Linked DNA regions of Mus musculus. The protein of the gene in region 1 purifies or fractionates together with the protein of each later gene. This does not show direct contact. Links are inferred from orthologs where the notes say so. Each region holds a gene or a part of one and is shown on either strand. Other genes may lie near its edges. The genes, in order: Mta2, Dnmt1, Bcl11a and Chd3.

Evidence for each region.
Region 2: the proteins of Mta2 (region 1) and Dnmt1 purify together in Homo sapiens (affinity purification with western blotting; 3 studies listed by BioGRID and IntAct, with this or other methods). This does not show direct contact. The link is inferred for Mus musculus from reciprocal best matches to the Homo sapiens genes MTA2 and DNMT1.
Region 3: the proteins of Mta2 (region 1) and Bcl11a purify together in Homo sapiens (affinity purification with mass spectrometry; 4 studies listed by BioGRID and IntAct, with this or other methods). This does not show direct contact. The link is inferred for Mus musculus from reciprocal best matches to the Homo sapiens genes MTA2 and BCL11A.
Region 4: the proteins of Mta2 (region 1) and Chd3 purify together in Homo sapiens (affinity purification with mass spectrometry; 8 studies listed by BioGRID and IntAct, with this or other methods). This does not show direct contact. The link is inferred for Mus musculus from reciprocal best matches to the Homo sapiens genes MTA2 and CHD3.

Annotation. Positions count from the first base shown.
Region 1 is NC_000085.6:8,940,136-8,945,180, forward strand, and holds the start of Mta2 (metastasis-associated protein MTA2), read left to right. Parts: upstream 1-1,784; 5' UTR 1,785-2,219; coding exon 2,220-2,247; exon of another isoform or gene 2,248-2,255; intron 2,256-2,337; exon of another isoform or gene 2,338-2,897; intron 2,898-3,329; coding exon 3,330-3,397; intron 3,398-3,877; coding exon 3,878-3,971; intron 3,972-5,045. Other genes in the region: Eml3 (echinoderm microtubule-associated protein-like 3), read left to right, coding at 444-542, 768-898, 995-1,198. UniProt on the Homo sapiens protein: May function as a transcriptional coregulator. Acts as a component of the histone deacetylase NuRD complex which participates in the remodeling of chromatin.
Region 2 is NC_000075.6:20,918,159-20,922,423, reverse strand, and holds part of Dnmt1 (DNA (cytosine-5)-methyltransferase 1), read left to right. Parts: coding exon 1-130; intron 131-223; coding exon 224-401; intron 402-2,217; coding exon 2,218-2,315; intron 2,316-2,436; coding exon 2,437-2,584; intron 2,585-3,873; coding exon 3,874-3,989; intron 3,990-4,103; coding exon 4,104-4,265. UniProt on the Homo sapiens protein: Methylates CpG residues. Preferentially methylates hemimethylated DNA. Associates with DNA replication sites in S phase maintaining the methylation pattern in the newly synthesized strand, that is essential for epigenetic inheritance.
Region 3 is NC_000077.6:24,165,056-24,168,935, forward strand, and holds the end of Bcl11a (B-cell lymphoma/leukemia 11A), read left to right. Parts: coding exon 1-111; 3' UTR 112-3,380; downstream 3,381-3,880. UniProt on the Homo sapiens protein: Transcription factor. Associated with the BAF SWI/SNF chromatin remodeling complex. Binds to the 5'-TGACCA-3' sequence motif in regulatory regions of target genes, including a distal promoter of the HBG1 hemoglobin subunit gamma-1 gene.
Region 4 is NC_000077.6:69,366,286-69,371,053, reverse strand, and holds the start of Chd3 (chromodomain-helicase-DNA-binding protein 3), read left to right. Parts: upstream 1-1,627; 5' UTR 1,628-1,662; coding exon 1,663-1,918; intron 1,919-1,975; exon of another isoform or gene 1,976-2,064; intron 2,065-3,333; exon of another isoform or gene 3,334-3,495; intron 3,496-4,593; exon of another isoform or gene 4,594-4,768.

The DNA.
Region 1 (5,045 bases):
AAACCAAAACAACCCCCCCCCCCAAAAAAAAAAAACCAAACCAAAACAAACCAAAACAAAGGAAAAAGCCGGCTGCACCAAGAAGACAGTGCTTTAGGATAGCTCCTTAGGGCAAGTGGGGGAGGGGCAGCTGATGAGAAACTGTTAGTGCTTTATCCAGAGGCTCTAGGCATGTCTAAGGCTACATTCTCTGTTTCTGAGACAGGGTTCCCTCTGTCACCTGCGTTTGTAGACCAGGGTGGCCCCCAACTCAGAGATCTGTCTGCCCCACTAGGACTGGGATTAAGGATCTGCACCATCATGCAGGCCTAACTTAAAGCCAAGCCAAGTCAGTGAGAACTTGGGAAGCACACAGTGGGGTTCATAGTGGACGCTATGCCTATGATCAGTTCATGTCGTCAAGTGAGGGAAGAATGACGGCTGAGTAGGCGATTTCCACCTAGGGGATGTGGCTGGAGGCTGCAAACTGCTGAGGAACCGCTATGAGAGCAGAGACCGGGAGTGGGCTACCTATACCTGTGTGCTGGGCTTCCACGTCTATGGTGAGCCAGGATCTGGAATCCGTTAGGAGGGCTGGGGAAACAAGGAAGAACCCATTCTGCCCTCAGAATCCTGGGCGTGTGCCACCTCGGGGTGGGGGTCATAGTGGCAAATCCAGGCTAGGAGGCCCCTTGGGATTGTCTGGAGCGCAGTGGCAACCTGAAGACCTGAAACACTGCAACTCTAGGTTGTGGTAGCAGCCTGACTCAGGCCACCTGTTGTGTTAGGTGTGTGGCCTGATGGCTCTGATGGGACAGACATCAACTCCCTTTGCCGCTCCCACAATGAACGGGTGGTGGCTGTGGCAGACGACTTCTGCAAAGTACACCTCTTTCAGTACCCATGTGCTCGAGCCAAGGTGAGGCTTCAGGGGACCATTGGGCCCAGGTGGGTAGGTTTGGTACCCTGCCATTGCTGCAACCAGTTGTTTTTTTTTTTTTTTTCTCTCATCTAGGCGCCAAGTCGTATGTACTCAGGCCATGGCAGCCATGTGACTAGTGTCCGGTTCACGCACGACGACTCATACCTTGTCTCCTTAGGTGGCAAGGATGCTAGCATCTTTCAGTGGCGAGTGCTGGGGGCAGGGAGCTCTGGGCCCGCTCCTGCCACACCATCTAGAACGCCCTCTCTGTCCCCTGCCTCCTCCCTGGACGTGTGATTGATGCTGGATGGTCTTGTCCCTCTGGTACTGTGGTCTGGCCCCACCCTGGCCAAAACCCCTAGGACCAAGGACAGTCTTTTCCTGTGCTGGCTTTTTCTTTGACTTCATACATTCCCAATTGCGCATTTTTCTGGAGGGGCTAACCACCCCACTGCACACAAAATAACAACAGACTTGCTGGCTGAGCCAGGCAACCCAGCTCCGACACCCTCTGCTCGGTGAGGGGCAATAAAAAGAAAAAAGTAACTGCCTGGTGCTTTTGTGCGGCGGGTCCCCTCAGGGGCCCAGTTGTGTTAGGATGAAAGAAAAAAGTGCAGGGCGGGAAGAGAAAAGGGAGTTCAGACCAAATATGCAAATAACAGGCAAAGCGGCTTGCAAATAACCTCAAGAAGAGTGAGGGCGCGCGCGCGCCTTTCGACGCCACTGCCGGGGAGCTGCTAGGACCCATAGTGCAAAGAGTTAATTCCGGCTCCTCACCGCCCTCAGGGGCGGGGTCGAGCTGCAACGGAAATAACCGAGCGCGAGGCCGCGGCTGAGCGAAAGGAGCCGAGTTCCTTCCGGAAGTGGCCGATCTGCGGGGTCTTGCTCTCCGACCTGAGCCGAGCGCTGGGCCTTGTTCTCCGGATCGGCCGAAGGTGTTCCGGAAGGAGGCGAACCCGGACGCGGGCAGGGCAAACCTTGCCAGCGGTTGGCACCGCACGACGTCTGCTGGGACTCGGTGAGGACGCTAGGAGCTGGAACCTCACTCCGGTCAGGCAGGAATCGAGCTCGTTCCGGAAGAAGCCGAGTAGACCGGAGCTGGCCTCGGTGTCCCGGCGTGAGGCTATAGCAGTGTCGTCGTCGCGCGGGCAGTGATGAGCCGCGGCGGCTGAGCGAGCAGAGGTGCCGGCTGCTCGGGCCCCATCGACACTTCCGCGAAGCGTCAGCCACGCGCTGGGGGCTTCGTCTGGAGCTGAGCTTTGCCCCCGCGAGCCTCCGGGACCTCTTTGTGTGGCCGGAGGCGGCGGCGGGAACGGCCATGGCGGCTAACATGTACCGGGTGGGAGGTGAGTACCCTGAGCGGAAGAGGCTGAGGCCGGGATCAGGGAGACTCGGTGTCCGCAGGCGCGGGGGAGCCACATCTGGGGTCGTGTGGGCCGCGGCACCGACCGGAACCGGAATCAAGAGCCATGGTTCCGCGGCGGCGACGCTATCGGGCGCAGAGTCTACCGCAGAGGCTTACCTGCAGCCGTAACGGTGCTCTTGAGACCTGTGACTGGATCGCCGGGCTGGAAGTGGCCTTGGCTTTGGAAGGGGCCCGAGTGACCCACCGTCCGGCCAGCCGCGCTAGGGGCTAGGCGCGCAGGGGTTTTCTTTTCTGTGGCGGCTTGTGCGTTCGCGAAGGTGGGGCCTGAACAGTTTACTCAATTCTCCTATACAAGGATGCAACTTGAGTGCAAAGTTGTATGGACTCCAGGGAAATTCTTGTTCTTGTTTCTTAAGTCTCACTTTTGAGTGAAGATCTGACTTTAGAACTGGGTGTTGCAGGGGTAGGGGGTAAAAACTCATTTCCTTTTTCTTCTTTTTTCCTTGTTTCTTTTTAGACAAGGTTTATTCTCTGTGTAGTCTTGGCTGTCCTGGGACTCATACTGTAGACCAGGCTGTCCTCGAACTCAGAGATCCGCCTGCCTCTGCCTCCTGACTGCTGGAATTAAAGGTGTGTGACACCACTGCCTGGCAAAGTATTTCCATAATATCTCTTTTCCTTCCTTCCTTTTTTTTTTTTTTTTTTTTCTTTTTTTCTCTCTTCTCTTCCCCCACCCCCCATTTCCTTTTTGAGGCAGGTTTCCCCCTTGTTTCTTTTGAGACAAGGTTTCTCTGTGTAACCCTGGCTGTCCTGGAACTTGAGCTGTAGACTTGGCTGGCTTTGAACCAAGAGCCTGCTTTGGTCTCCCAGACTGCTGGGATTAAACGCATATGCCACCACTGTCCAGCTAATGACTAGTACTTATTTTCTTAACTCTCTCCTCTTGCTCATCTCCACTTCATCTCTATCTAGAATTTTGTCTCATTTTGGTCCACACAGAGCGACTTTTTCATCTGGGTGCCCTCTCCTCTGATCCTCTTGTTTCTTCCCCACCTCCTACAGATTACGTCTATTTTGAGAACTCCTCCAGCAATCCTTACCTGGTTAGACGGATTGAGGAGCTCAATAAGGTGAGTGGAGTTGGTTTTTTTTTTTTTTAATGATACAGGGTCTCTCTATTATGTAACCTTGGCTGCCTGGAACTTGCTGTGTAGACCAGGCTGATCTTAAACTCATGGAGACCCTTTTCATTGGTTCTGAAATTATCTTTGAGTATTAAGTCTTTACTGCTAAGTTTTTCTAGCTCTTCTACTTAGACCCTTAAGGAGATATTGCTTTTGACTCTGCGCACTTCCACTCCCCCACCTCCCCCCAGCACCTCCACTTTCTTTTGTTGTTGTTGTTGTTTTGTTTTGTTTTGAGACAGGGTTTCTCTGTGTAGCCCTGGCTGTCCTGGAACTCATTTTGTAGACCAGGCTGGCCTTGAACTCAGAAATCCGTCTGCCTCTGCCTCCCGAGTACTGGGATTAAAGGCGTGCACCACCACACCCGGCATGCATCTCCACTTTCAAATGGCCAATTTTCCTTCTCGGTTTTTCTCCCTCCTTTAGACTGCAAATGGAAATGTGGAAGCAAAGGTTGTCTGTCTTTTCCGGCGAAGGGATATTTCTAGTAGCCTCAACAGCTTGGCTGACAGTAATGCTCGTGAGTGTCTTCATTCCTTACCCATCTCCCTTCCCCAGGATCTGAGGACTAGACATGTTCCTGCAGGTGTTTCCCCTGGCAGCATGCCCAAGGGAGGGTGTGAGTTTGGGGGGGGGTGGGAAGTGCCTGGTCTGCGGAGGGAGGCCTGTTGTTACACGTTGGGGTTGGAAGCAGGGCGGGCAGACCATGATAAGGAAAGCCAAAATGAGGCTTATGTGTGTGAGTGGAGAGATATTTAGATAGGAAATGAAAAGAGCTTTAGAGAAGCAGGCACTCGGGGACATTTTGGGTACTTTGGGACAGTGGTTAGTGAGTGATGGCCAAGGTGAAGAGGAAGATACTGTTTTGAGAAGTCTGCATAACAGAGAGGCTTATGCTGTAGTCTGGAGGCGATGCCAAAACATTAATAGAGATGATAAGCTAGGAGCAGTTCTCTTGGACTTCCCTGCCTTCACCATTTTTCCTCTCCATTCCAGTTAGTGTCATTTTTACTTATTTTTGCTTTGTCTGCATTTTCTCTATGATCTTTATATTGTAATTTTTTTTCACTTAGTTTTATCTTTTTTCTTTCCTTTTTTTTTTTTTTTTTTCTTTGTCAGGGTTTCTCTGTGTAGCCCTGGCTGTCCTGGAACTCACTCTGTAAATCAGGCTGGCCTTGAACATAGAAATCTACCTGCCTCTGCCTCCCTGGTGCTGGGATTAAAGGCGTGTGCCAGCACTACCCGCATCACTTAGTTTTCTTTTAACTCCCTTTTTCCCTCCTAGATTCTTTTTCAGGCTGCAGTCATGAAAGGGTTAATGAACTGGGCCTACCAAGTTTCCTGGCCCTTTGGGGTTTCCGGCTCCATCTGGCAGGGGCTGACCTTGGCCTTATCCAATCAGAAGGGGTAGGGGTGTGGTTCTTTTTGCCCTACCTCTGGGTTTTCCTAGAGCACAGAGAGACACGGACACCCCCACCCCAAATCTGTACCCCCATTTTTCAGGGGAACAATGCACCGATGAGCATGTGCCTGAGGTTTCTGTCTTCTACTTTGGTTGGCACTTAGCCAGGTTAACTGTTTCTACGGAGATTTC
Region 2 (4,265 bases), on another chromosome or scaffold:
GCCACGCCCAGTTTGTAGTGAGCCAGGTAGAGAGTTACGACGAAGCCAAGGACGATGATGAGACCCCCATCTTCTTGTCTCCCTGTATGAGAGCCCTGATCCATTTGGCTGGTGTCTCCCTGGGACAGAGGTAAGGATGTAGCAAGAATCAGATTGGAGGCTTGAGACCAGAGGAGGCAATCTCCTGTGTTTGGTTCTCTGAAACGGTGGCCATCTCCCTCAGGCGAGCAACAAGGCGCGTCATGGGTGCTACCAAGGAGAAGGACAAAGCACCCACGAAAGCCACCACCACCAAGCTGGTCTATCAGATCTTTGACACTTTCTTCTCAGAGCAGATTGAGAAGTATGATAAGGAGGACAAGGAGAATGCCATGAAGCGCCGCCGCTGTGGTGTCTGTGAGGTGAGCCGGCTATCCTTGGCACCCCTTCCTTAGATGTGAAGGAGAGCACTCCATGCTTTGGGGTAGCCTCCTGACCCTCTCTGTCCATCTGGGGTTGAAGTCGGAGTGTCCAAGACCTTTGGTCTTGCTGATGCTAGGCTACAGATCCTGGGTTTCCTGAGAGATGCTAGCTCCGCCTCTATTTCCTGTGGGTGTTGAGAGAGCAGACGCTGACCCCAGGAGCCAAAGCTGTCCCCTCCACCCCCACCCCCGGGCACATTTCCTGGGATTCTATCTAGAACTGAAAGTGCACATTTCTCTCAGTTTAGACTTATGGCTGCAGAAGCCTCTTGCTTTGACCTCCAAGAGCTGGCCTTACAGACCTGTGCCACCGTGCCTGGCTCTTGTGAATTATAAATCCTTTTCATATAGATAGCCTTGGAATCAACCTACATTACACTAAACAAGCAAACACAAACTTCAAATAATGTGGTAAAGCTACACATGGAGGCGCCGGCCTGTGATCCTGGCCCAGGCTGAGAAGTGGAGGCAGGAGGATCGGGACTGCAGGGTCATGCTCAGTTTATCGTGAGTTTGAGGTCAGCCTGGGCTGAATTTATCCTAAACCATAGCCTACACGTGCATGTGTGTTCTGAGGCGCTTCTGTGTCCAGGGCTGACTGAAACTCCTCGTGTGCACTGGGTATCCAGGTATGCACTGCCGTGGCCAGACCTGTGACGTCAGTGTGTCCTGCCTGACAGCAGCTTGCAGGGCTCGCCTTGGCCCAGGCTGTACAGGGACTTGGGTATCCTGTGGCTTTGAATGGGTGAGGAGACTCCTGCGTGTGCTGTTCTGAGCATCCAGGGGGCAGCTGGGGGTTTATTTTCTTCAGAGAAAGTCACCTTTTGCAATTTAGTGTTTTGACTTTCCCTGGGTAGAGCCTGGCTGGTTTCCACACACCACAGTAGCATGTCCTCTACTCTCTTGGCAGCCCTCGTGAGGATGCCCTGTCCTCGCTGTGCCTCGACTTTGCTCACTGTCCTTGTATCTGGTGTTTGTTTTAAAGGTGCCCCTTTTTTGGCAGTGGTGTGGGAGTGTGGTTGCAGTGGTGGTGGGTTTTTTTAGGTGAAGTCGGGTACTTGATGGTCCTGTTTGGTTACCTTATTCTCATGGTTCGTTTTTGTTAGGGGCTGTCCCCACTGACTGGTGGGGACTCTGGTAGCTCTGTGACACTCAACAGAGCTGCTTGTGAGCTTCTAAGGTGCCGTCAGCACCCTGTTCACCTCCGGATTCTCAGATGCACACGCCCCTTCTGCACGTGTCCTCTGTGAGCAGCCGGATGGCCTGGTACCTAATACAGGTTAAGGCCATGTGTGGCTGCCACACTATTGCTCAGGGGAAGGGTCAACACACTCTGTTCAGCACAAGGCCAGTATGTTTTCAGAGTTTCATTAGAGAGCTGTCTGCATGGGCCACAGTGCATATGAAGGTCAGGAGGAACTCTGTAGAGTTGGGTTTCTGCCTTCCTGTGGGCCTTGGGTATTGAACTTGGGTTATAAGGCTTGGCACCAAGTGCCTTTACCCACTGGCCCAACATGCAGATTTTTGAAAGTTATAATTAAAAATTCCTGGGCCTGGGTGTGGTGGCACACACCTCTAATCCCAGCATTCAGCTGCAGAGGCAGGAGTATCTGAGTTCAAGGCCAGCCTGGTCTACATAGTTGCATGACAGCCAGAGTTTTGTAGAGAGAGACCGTCTCCAAAACAAAAACAAAAAGGCCAAACAAAGTTTCTAGTTGAGAATTGCTGATTGATCGACTTGTTTGCTATTTTTCAGGTCTGTCAGCAGCCTGAGTGTGGGAAGTGCAAGGCGTGCAAAGATATGGTGAAGTTTGGTGGCACTGGACGGAGTAAGCAGGCTTGCCTCAAGAGGAGGTAGGCTGTGCTGTATTCTACTCGGATAACAGAGCAGCCAGGGTGCCAGGGCGTGCTGCAGGGACGGGGTGTGGAGCTGACATGCGCTTTGCTGGGGTTGACTGCAGTGTGTGTTCTGCAGGTGTCCTAACTTGGCGGTGAAGGAGGCAGACGACGATGAAGAGGCTGATGATGATGTGTCAGAGATGCCATCACCCAAAAAGCTGCATCAGGGGAAGAAGAAGAAGCAGAACAAGGACCGCATCTCCTGGCTTGGGCAGCCTATGAAGGTGAGGCCCCTTCCTCTTCATGCTTCTTCTCTTCGCGCCTCTGAGCCCAGCCGTGCAGCCAGGAACCTGCTGGCAGCCTCCCGAGAGAGGAGGACTGTCGTCCAGCTGCTGTCCCCTTTCCCTCCCTCGTTCCTGATACTGGGAGTGGAATGCAAGGCCCCAGACTGCTGGACTAGAGCTCTGCACCTGAGCTGTGCCTCACTCCTCATGGTGGACCCTGAGCCGAGGCTGCAGCACAGGTAGCCCATCCGCTTGTGCCCTTTGTGGTGCTCCATTGCCACCTCTCAGGCGCTAAGCCGCGTGCTGCCCTGTCAGACTCTGTTTTGTTGCTATAAAAACCAAGCCTGATGGTGGTGGCACACAGCCTTTAATCTCAGCACGCGGGAGGCAGAGGCAGGCATGGCAGGCATAGCTTGAGTTCTGGGCTACCCTGGTTTACACAGCATATTCCAAGACAGCAGTTCCAAGAATGGGGAAAGGTCAGAAGCCTTGTGGGTTTGGTTTGGTTTGGAGATGGGATCTTACTGTATAAGTTAGAACTTCTATTTTCATTAGTTTTTTTAGATTGATTTATCACATGTAGATGGCTGGGGTTAGAAGAAGATATGGAATCATCTAGACCTGCAGTTAAGGTTGGTTCTGAGCCACTGTGGGTGCCGGGACCCGAATCCAGGTTCCCTGTAAGAGCAGTGAGTGCTCTTTGTGGAGTTGCTTTCTTTTTAGCCTTTCCAAAGTGAGGATTACAGGCATGCGCTACCAATCTCAGCGGCTCATGCCTTTTGAGTCAAGGTTTTTTACTGTGTAGCTCTGGCTGGCCTGGAACTCAATGCAGCCTGCCTCTGCCTCCAGAGTGCTGGAATTAAAGATGTGTGCCATGACACCTGGCTTTTTTTCTTAATTTGATTACATTTACTCATGGATGCCGCAGCACGGTGTGTCAGGACAGGTCGTGTAAGTCGCCAATCTCCATCTCCCATGTTGGTCCCAGAGATCAACCTTTGGTCATCTGCCTTGGAAGCGAGCTTCTTTGTTTATCCACTGAGCCATCCCATCCTCCATGACTTAGTAAATCAAAAGTTGTGGTTGGTTGGTTTGTCTGTTTGTTTATTAAGGGTTGCTAGGGATGGAGCCCAGAGCCTGGTATCTCTTAAGTACACTTTGCACTGCTGACCCACACACCCTTAGTCCCAAGTAATTTTCATAGGAAGTCAGGGAGAGCCGCCACCCAGGTTAAATCTAGTGAGAGCCTTGGATGTGACTATCACCTGGGCTCCATCGCTTGCTTTCAGATTGAAGAGAATAGAACTTACTATCAGAAGGTGAGCATCGATGAGGAGATGCTAGAGGTGGGCGACTGCGTCTCGGTCATTCCAGATGATTCCTCCAAACCACTCTATCTAGCCAGGTATGCATGCCTGCCTTTTCTCTTGAACACCTCAAGTCCAACTTTGTCAGAACAGACCCCAGGTTCTGCTGGTTACATGAGACATTTCTTCCCCGTCCTGTCTTATGACTGCAGGGTCACAGCTCTGTGGGAAGACAAAAATGGTCAGATGATGTTCCATGCGCACTGGTTCTGCGCTGGGACAGACACAGTCCTGGGAGCCACCTCCGACCCCCTGGAACTGTTCCTGGTGGGCGAGTGCGAAAACATGCAGCTTTCCTACATCCACAGCAAGGT
Region 3 (3,880 bases), on another chromosome or scaffold:
TACAAATGTGAAATTTGTAAGATGCCTTTTAGCGTGTACAGTACCCTGGAGAAACACATGAAAAAATGGCACAGTGATCGAGTGTTGAATAATGATATAAAAACTGAATAGAGGTATATTAATACCCTCCCTCACTCCCACTTGATGCCCCCCTTCCACCCCTTCCCCATTGTCCTTCCAGCCCTACTCCCTGTAGGATTTTTCTAGTCCCATGTGATCAAACAAACAAACAAACAAACAACAGAGGTAATGGAAGCTAAGAATATGAATGAGTGCTTGTCACCAGCACACCTGGTTTTTTGTTTTGTTTTTCCTTTTTTTTTTCTTTTTCTTCTTCTTTTTTTTAAATTTTAAATTCTTTATGTTCTCACCGTTTGAATGCATGTTTGGGGCAATACTATTGCATTTTACGCAAACTTTGAGCCTTTCTCTTGTGCAATAATTTACATGTTGTGTATGTTTTTCCCCCCTTAACTTAGACAGCATGTATGGTATGTTACGGCTATTTTAAATTGTCCCTAATTCATTATGAGCAAACATGTTGTTGCTGTTTCCAGTTCCATTCTGAGAGTGTGAGGGAGGGAGGGTAGAAAACAACGCATGCTGCATACATAATTCTGTAATACAGATCATGTGCAGCTTTATTTTATAACACGAGGAGGGAAACGGTGTCTGGGTTGACTAACCCTCTGCAGACAGAGCAGATAGCAGTGAAAAAAAGGTGCTAAATGTCTGTCTCTAAAGGGTTACATGTATTAATTGGAGAGGGAAAAAAGGCCTTGAATTGACAAATTAACAGAAGAACAAGTTTATTCTATCATTTGGCTTTTAAAATGAGTGCCTTGGATCTATTCAAACCATGTTGATGGTTTTTTTTCTGCTTGTTATAAACTTGTAGTTTAATCTAGCATTGGGTGAGGTAATAAACTTTAGGACCTAGCATGTAATTCTGTGTTGTATTTCTCACAACAATGGCTACCTAAAAATATGACCCATTATGTCCTAGTTAATCATTGATTTTTGCCTTTAACTTTGTGAACAAAACTGATTATACCAGTATAAAAGCTACTTTGCTCCTTGTGAGAGCATAAAAGAAATGGGCTGTTTCGCCTAAAGTTTTATTTTATTTTATTTTTAAATGGTTATCAAATTGAATGTGAAATGTGCAAAGGCCCTGGAATGTGATGAAATACATTAGCAAGAAGTTCATCTTGTGACAATACTTGTTTAAAATGATGCATTTAATGAAATTCTGGCGCCAAAAGAAGTAGATCCGGCTCTAGTTGGTTGTTGAGTGGACAATAAAATGATAAAGCCCTTTAGAGGACATTTGAAAGAACAGGCTGATATGATGAGAGAGAGAGAGAGAGACAGAAAACGGTAGTGATTGGTTAGCACGATGTAGTACTGTTTGCCATTTGAAACTAGAACAGGTGTATAAGGGGCCAGCGATACAATGATGATTAACTCTGAAGCTCTAAGACTTGCATTTAATGTGACAGTCTTCAAAAAGAAGAGGAAGACCTTTAAGAGCAGCAGTATCTATGTCTGTGCTCCCTGGAAGTTGTACTTCATTTCTTTTCCATACACTGTGTGCTATTTGTGTTAACATTGAAGAGGATTTGTTTTTATTTTGTTTTATTCTTTCTTTCTTTCTTTTTTCTTCCTTCTTTGTTTTAAGCTAGCATCTGCCCCAGTTGGTGTTCAAATAGCACTTGACTCTGCCTATGATACCTGTATCTTTTCTCTAATCAGAGATACAGAGGTTGAGTATAAAATAAACCTGCTCAGATAGGACAATTAAGTGCACTGTACAGTTTTCCCAGTTTACAGGTCTTTATTAAGGGAAACGTTGCAAGAATGCTGAAAACAATTGAACACAATCTCAATGATGAGCATTAAAAAATAATAAAAAAAAACAAGCAAACCTAAAAAAAACTAAGACAGACGTTGCCAGCCATTGACTTGACTATTGAGCTTCCTCACTTGGATGCAACATTGCAAGCGCTGTGGATGGAAACAACACACTTAACATAGAAACGAATGACTCCTTTGCTTCTACAGTGCAAGGATTTTTGTACAAAACTTTTTTAAGTATAAATGTTAAGAAAAGAATTTTTAAAAAGACACTTCATTATGTTTAGGGGGGAACAGCATTTTAGGGTTCCATTGTCTTGGTGGTGTTACAAGACCTGTTATCCATTTAAAAATGGTAGTGGAAATTCTATGCCTTGGATCACACACCGCTCTTCAGGTTGTAAAAAAAAATGAAAACAAAACAAAACAAAAAAAAAACATACATGGGGAAAGGTTTAAGATTATATAGTACTTAAAAATAGGAAAACGCACACTCATGTTGATTCCTATGCTAAAACACAGTTATGGTCTTCTTTCTGTATTTCTAGAATGGTATTTGAATTAAATGTTCATCTAGTGTTAGGCACTATAGTATTTATATTGAAGCTTGTATTTTTAACTGTTGCTTGTTCACTCAAAAGGTATCAATGTACCTTTTTGTTAGTAGAAAAAAAAAGACAGGCTGCCACAGTATATTTTTTTAATTTGGCAGGATAATATAGTGCAAATTATTTGTATGCTGAGAGAGAGAGAGAGAGAGAGAGAGAGAGAGAGAGAGGTGTGACATTGTACAGAGAAGCCATATAATGGCGGTTTGGGGAGCCTGCTAGAATGTCACATGGATGGCTGTCATAGGGGTTGTACATATCCTTTTCCCCCTTTCCTGCTGCCATGCTGTACGCAGCACTGCAAGCTAATAGCGTTGGTTTGTTATGTAGTGTGCTTTGGCCCCTCCTCCCCGCTCACCCGACATTCCAGCATCTTACCTTCATATGCAGTAAAAGAAAGAAAGAAAAAAAAAAAGGAAAAAAAAAACAACAACAATGTTTTGCAGTTTTTTTCATTGCCAAAAACTAAATGGTGCTTTATATTTAGATTGGAGAGAATTTCTTATGCAAAGCATATTAAAGAGAAAGCCCGCTTTAGTCAATACTTTTTTGTAAATGGCAATGCAGAATATTTTGTTATTGGCCTTTTCTATTCCTGTAATGAAAGCTGTTTGTCGTAACTTGAAATTTTATCTTTTACTATGGGAGTCACTATTTATTATTGCTTATATGCCCTGTTCAAAACAGAGGCACTTAATTTGATCTTTTATTTTTCTCTGTTTTTATTATTATTTTTTTTAATTTGGATGACCAAAGGTCATTGCAACCTGGCTTTTTACTGTATTTGTTTCTGGTCTTTGTTAAGTTCTATTGGAAAAACCACTGTCTGTGTTTTTTTGGCAGTTGTCTGCATTAACCTGTTCATACACCCATTTTGTCCCTTTATTGAAAAAAAATAAAAAAATTAAAGTACTATGTCAGCTTCTTGTGTCCTCATTTGACACACTCTGTAAATTACTTTCAACAAAATAACAGGTTTTGAGAGAAGGCCAGTTAGTCTTTTTCAGGGTCATTTCTATGGGCATTTTGATGTGTGTATTATACCCTAAAGGAGCATAATATACTTACTGTTATTAAAATAGACATACCTCAAGCCATGGAAGTACAGGTTTAGATCAGTTGGAAGGTAATTCTTGTTCACTGTTCAAAACTTCTGCTCTGTCCTTAGTGGGATCCACTAGGTACCTGTGAGCCCAGGAGCCGCCCCTCAGTTGTCTCCTTTGGATTTTCTGCTGTGCCTGTTGTGTCTAAAAGTCCTTTCTGTTCTTCCATTATTTCCCTATTTTAGAGTGTAATGTCAAAAAAGGGGGATCCTTAAACGAATAGCTCCCTATTCTCCATAATGACCTTTCCTCATAATAAAAATGACCTTTCCCCTCAACCCTAAACATCCAGAAACAAAGGCAGCAAGTATA
Region 4 (4,768 bases), on another chromosome or scaffold:
GCTGCTCATCTGATCCCTGCTACAACTTTAAGATAAACACTGGGATCCAGTCTGAAAGGACAGGTCAGCCGGTTCAGTGAAAAGGCCTGAGTGTTCGCCCTACCTCGTTCCTCTCTTCTCAGTTGCTTTCCTCTCCCCGTGCCTCAGTTTCTTCTACTTTATCAGTGTCGAAGGTCATGGAGGAAGAGGCGTTCGATGACACAGGAGAAAAGAATTTCACAATCTTCAGATCCGACCCTCTCCTCTTTCTCCTAAAAATCTGACCTAGTCACCACCAAATTAATTTCTCAAGTCAGACGATTTTACAAGCAAGCCACTGGAGGAGAGGAAGGGAAAGAGTAGAGATAAAATTGACAACATTCACAGAACACTGAGGGCTGGGCAAAGGAGAGAATCAAACATGGACTCCTTGGAAAAAAAACTCAATCATCTATTCATATCTCTCCCCCCAAAGTCACTAGGATTTCTGTCACTTTTTTTTTAAGGAGAAAAAAAAAAAAAGCCAGTACCATTTCTCATTTAAAAGCTACGTACACAATTAAATGCATTTTGACTTCAATGAGGTATGTAGAGAGTTATATATAAACATATATTTCATCTTTTTCCTTTTCAATGCCTGAAGGAAAAAAAAAAAAAACCTTCACATCAAACCACTCCCTTCTGAAGTATTCAGAAAAAAAAAAAAAAAGCTTTTCTTTAGAGAAGGGAGGTGGGGGGAGGAAGAAGACTAGTAAAGAAAAGAAAAATTCAATCTAGTTGGACTAGTATCTAACTAGTTAACCTTTAACAATTTATGCTGATGTCAGACTGAGCATGAGTACTGATTAATACCCCCCCAAATATTTTTATAAGGGGGGGAGTTAAGTCACAGCAGCCATTTTTGTTTTATGCAGAAATCCTTCATGCCCCCCAACACACACACACACACACACACACACACACACTCTCTCTCTCTCTCTCTCTCTCTCTCTCTCTCAATACACAAGGAAAATGTATTAATCTGTGCACTAATCAGTTATGAAAAAAGGGAGAAATTTGTGGGTTTCTGAGTAGAAGCTTGGAGATTGGATGTAACAGGGAGAATGGGGGTGTATGAAAAATGAAATATTAAGCCAGCCATTTTGTTTTAAAAGGGGATTTTACCCCCCTCTCTCTTTCTTTATAGAGGGGGGTGGCAGTGCTGGAGGGGGGGTTGTTTTAAAAATAATTTCAAGGCGGCCATCTTAGTGCCTCAGCTCTGAGAAATATTTCTGAGCGCCCCCCTCAGAATTTAAATATATTTAAAGCAACCGAGGGGGGTAGAGAGAAGTCGAAAACTTTTATATACATATATATAATTTTTTTTTTTTAAACGATCTCCCTTTCTTGTTCTCTTGGGAGGAAAGACAGAAGGGGGAAAAAGTCCTTAAATTTTTCCAAGAACATTTTTGGGGGTGGTGCGGCCCCCCTCCTCAGACGCCGGCCCCGGGGGTGGGTGTTCTGGAGGGGGGTGGCCCGGGGGTTTGGGGGGCTGGGGGAGGCGGTGAGGAGGAGGAGGAGGAGGACGCCGCCGCCGAGGAGGAGGAGGAGGAGGAGGAGGAGGAGGAGGAGGTGGTGGTGGTAGCGGTGGGGGAGGCGGGCGGGCGGTGGGTGGGGGGGTGGTGGGGGGGCCAGAGCCACAGGATGGCTTCCCCTCTGAGGGACGAGGAGGAGGAGGAGGAGGAGATGGTGGTGTCGGAGGAGGAAGAAGAGGAGGAAGAAGAGGGCGACGAGGAGGAGGAGGAGGTGGAGGCGGCCGACGAGGACGATGAGGAGGAGGACGAAGAGGGAGTACTCGGGCGCGGGCCGGGCCACGACCGGAGCCGCGACCGCCACAGCCCCCCCAGCTGCCACCTCTTCCCGCCGCCGCCGCCGCCGCTGCCGCCGCCCCCGCCACCAGGTAAGCGTCCGTCCGACTCCCCGGGGCCCGAGCGGAGCCGCGGGGCCCGGCACCTACGGTTCGGCCGAGCCGAGGAGAGTCCCGGGCGCCTGGCGGGTCTAGACGGGCCCGGCAGTCCGGGCGGCGGCGGCCTTGGGGCCAGGCCTCCTCCCCTCCCCCGCCGCACCCCTCCTCCGCCGCTACCGCGGCCGCCGCCACCGCCGCCGCCGCCGCCGCCGCCGCGCCCGGGCTGGAGAGCGCAGGGAGCGAGCTGCGCGCGCGGACCGGGCCACTTGGTCGCGGCTTTCGGGGGAGGAGATTTATTTTTTTCACCCTCGGCGGGGAGGGGGTAGGCAGGAAACGGCCGTAGCGAAGCCAGGGCCCCCCTCCCAGGCCGAGCGAGGGACCGCGGAGACCCCGGCGACCGGACGGCGGCGTGGGGGGAGGGGCGCGTGGGGGAGGGGCGGCCGCGTGAGCGCCCCTTGGGCCGGGCCCCGGTGGGGTCGGACTGAAGCCGAGTGGGTTCGGGGTGTGGAGCTGACTGCCACCCGACGCCCTCCGCTGGGGACTTGGGCAAGCAGAGGTGGGACAGTGGCCCGCGGACCAGCCCCTCCACCTGCAGGGACTTCGGTGCCCGCCAACTTAGGGGTGTGCGGTGGCACGCGTGGGAGGGGGCGTGCGAATGTTTGTAGCGGCTGATGACCAGAGGCAGGTGGTGGCCACACTCCACGCAGACCACTTCCTGGAGTAAGACTTGGACATACCGTCCACTCCCCCCTAGCTGGCCGCCGAGGTCTCGGGTCACCTCAGATTTGAAGAGAGACAGGAGAATGTCTGGGGAGCCAGATGCCCCCGGCCCCACCCTCGTCATCTCTGCCCCGGGCTCTTTTGTGTCAAGTGCAGCCCCCATCCCCCCCTCGTGACCCCGTCAGTCTGGGGTGGCCGAACTGCCCAGCTGTGACTCTCACGTGGCTGCCATTCACTGTCACTCTCTTGATGAAACCACCCACACACCCTGACCACGTTGGGGGGCGTGAACTGCCCACCCAGCTGCTCTGTCCTGACCATCATCACTCAGCACCCTTCTCCGAGATGACAAGTCACCTGCCACTGGCGTAGGACGTCCAGCTGTGCTTGGGACAGACCCTTCTCTGGATCAGTGGCGCAACTCTCAGACCACCCTCCAAGTGGAGAGTGATTTCTAGCTTCTTTAGGATAGGTGTCGCCAACCTCTGATTGGGGACATCCACACCCCCAAGTCTCTGGCGGCAGAGCAGCACACACACACCAAACTTTAAAACGTTATTTGTAAAACTGTCTTACTGACCACTGTGACTTTTTGTCGCACGTGTTGAGACAGCTTTTCCGGGGGTGGGGGGTGTTAAAAATAATGTGTTTAATGCGTATTGGGTAAAGCCTCACCCCTAACCTCGTCAGGTTTACCTGTAAAAGAGGAAAAGTTTAGAAAAAAGTTATTCCAGCGAGCCCTCAGGATTCCCTTGGAGTGGGGGAAGAATTAAAGATCCTGAGGAGAGAGAGGGCTGCCCGCAGGGCTGCCTGCGGCAAGGTGTGAAAAAGAGGGGAGAGGGGCTTGTCAGGTGAGTTAGGGCGTCGGTAACTCTCGCCTAACTGTTCTGAACTCCGGATCTGGTTTTGATCCCCGGCACTGGATGCCTGTAAGAGAGGAGAATGAACGAGCCTAAGGTCGAGATGGGTCTTTGTGTGGCGTCCTCCCTCCCCCCTTGCTTTTGAATCCTTGAGAAGCGTCAAAAGCTTTTGAATTTTTATGTTTGAAATGAAATCTCACCTCCTCTGTCTCCCTGGGCAATTTCATCCCCCTTCCAGCCCTCCAAGTCAAAATGACCCAGATACACCCCCTCAGATGACTTTCTGAGGTAAAACTTTCGGAAAATATTTTTAGCGTACTCATTATCCGTCTACCTCAGTGTGGGGAAAAATAAGTCTCCTCTTAAGGAGCTCTGTTCAGGCTGCCCGCCCTCGTCTCTTTCTGGAATATGAATTTGTACTCGTGAGAGCCTTCCATTGTTTTTCAGTGCGACTGCTTTGATTCTCACCATTTTTGTTTTACATTCTTACCCAAGACCAATTTTTATCCCTTCCCCCATCGCGCCAGTCTCCTTACATTGTTGAACGTTTAAAATAATAGCATTCGTGTTGGTGGGGGAAGGGAGCAGGAAGCTAAAGAAAAAAACCTCATTTCTTCTCCCTCCCCCTTCTGGCAAGTCTAGAGAAATAATATAACATAATATATAGATGTGATTCCTTGGGGGGTGGGGATGGGGGTGGGGAAATGATTGTGGGTGGTGCGGAAAATTCTGGTAGTTTCTTTGCAAAAGGTCTGAAAATACAAACCCACCTCCTGCATTCAGTACGCATGTGCAGTAGACCTATTATGGAGGTTCGTTGTGGGGGAGGGAGGGGAATTTGAGAAAAAAATAAATATAAGTGTGAGAGATTGATGGCGAGATTAGGAGAGAGGGGCGGGAGCAAGGCTCTTGCCCAGGCTCCTCCCACAGCCCTACTGCCAGACTCCGCCCTCGCCCTCCCCACCTTCCCGAGATCTGAGCCGGGAAGTGGGAGAGTCTGGGCTCGCGGCCAGCTTTGAGAGGCTGCTGAGACAGAGGTTGGGGCTTAGATTTGCTTTATTACCCTTCCTTGCCTCTCCTCGCCATTCTTTCCCTCTGCTGGCCACCGACGTCGGCCTAAAACTGAGAACCTCCTGCCGGGCTGGGTGGGAAGTAGAGTTCACGGGCTTCCTCGCCCCACACACCCAGGGTGACCCAGGCGGCCCACTTCCCTGATCCTTAGCCAGTTGGCATAGCCTGGCCTGCCCTTGCCACTTGCCCCGCG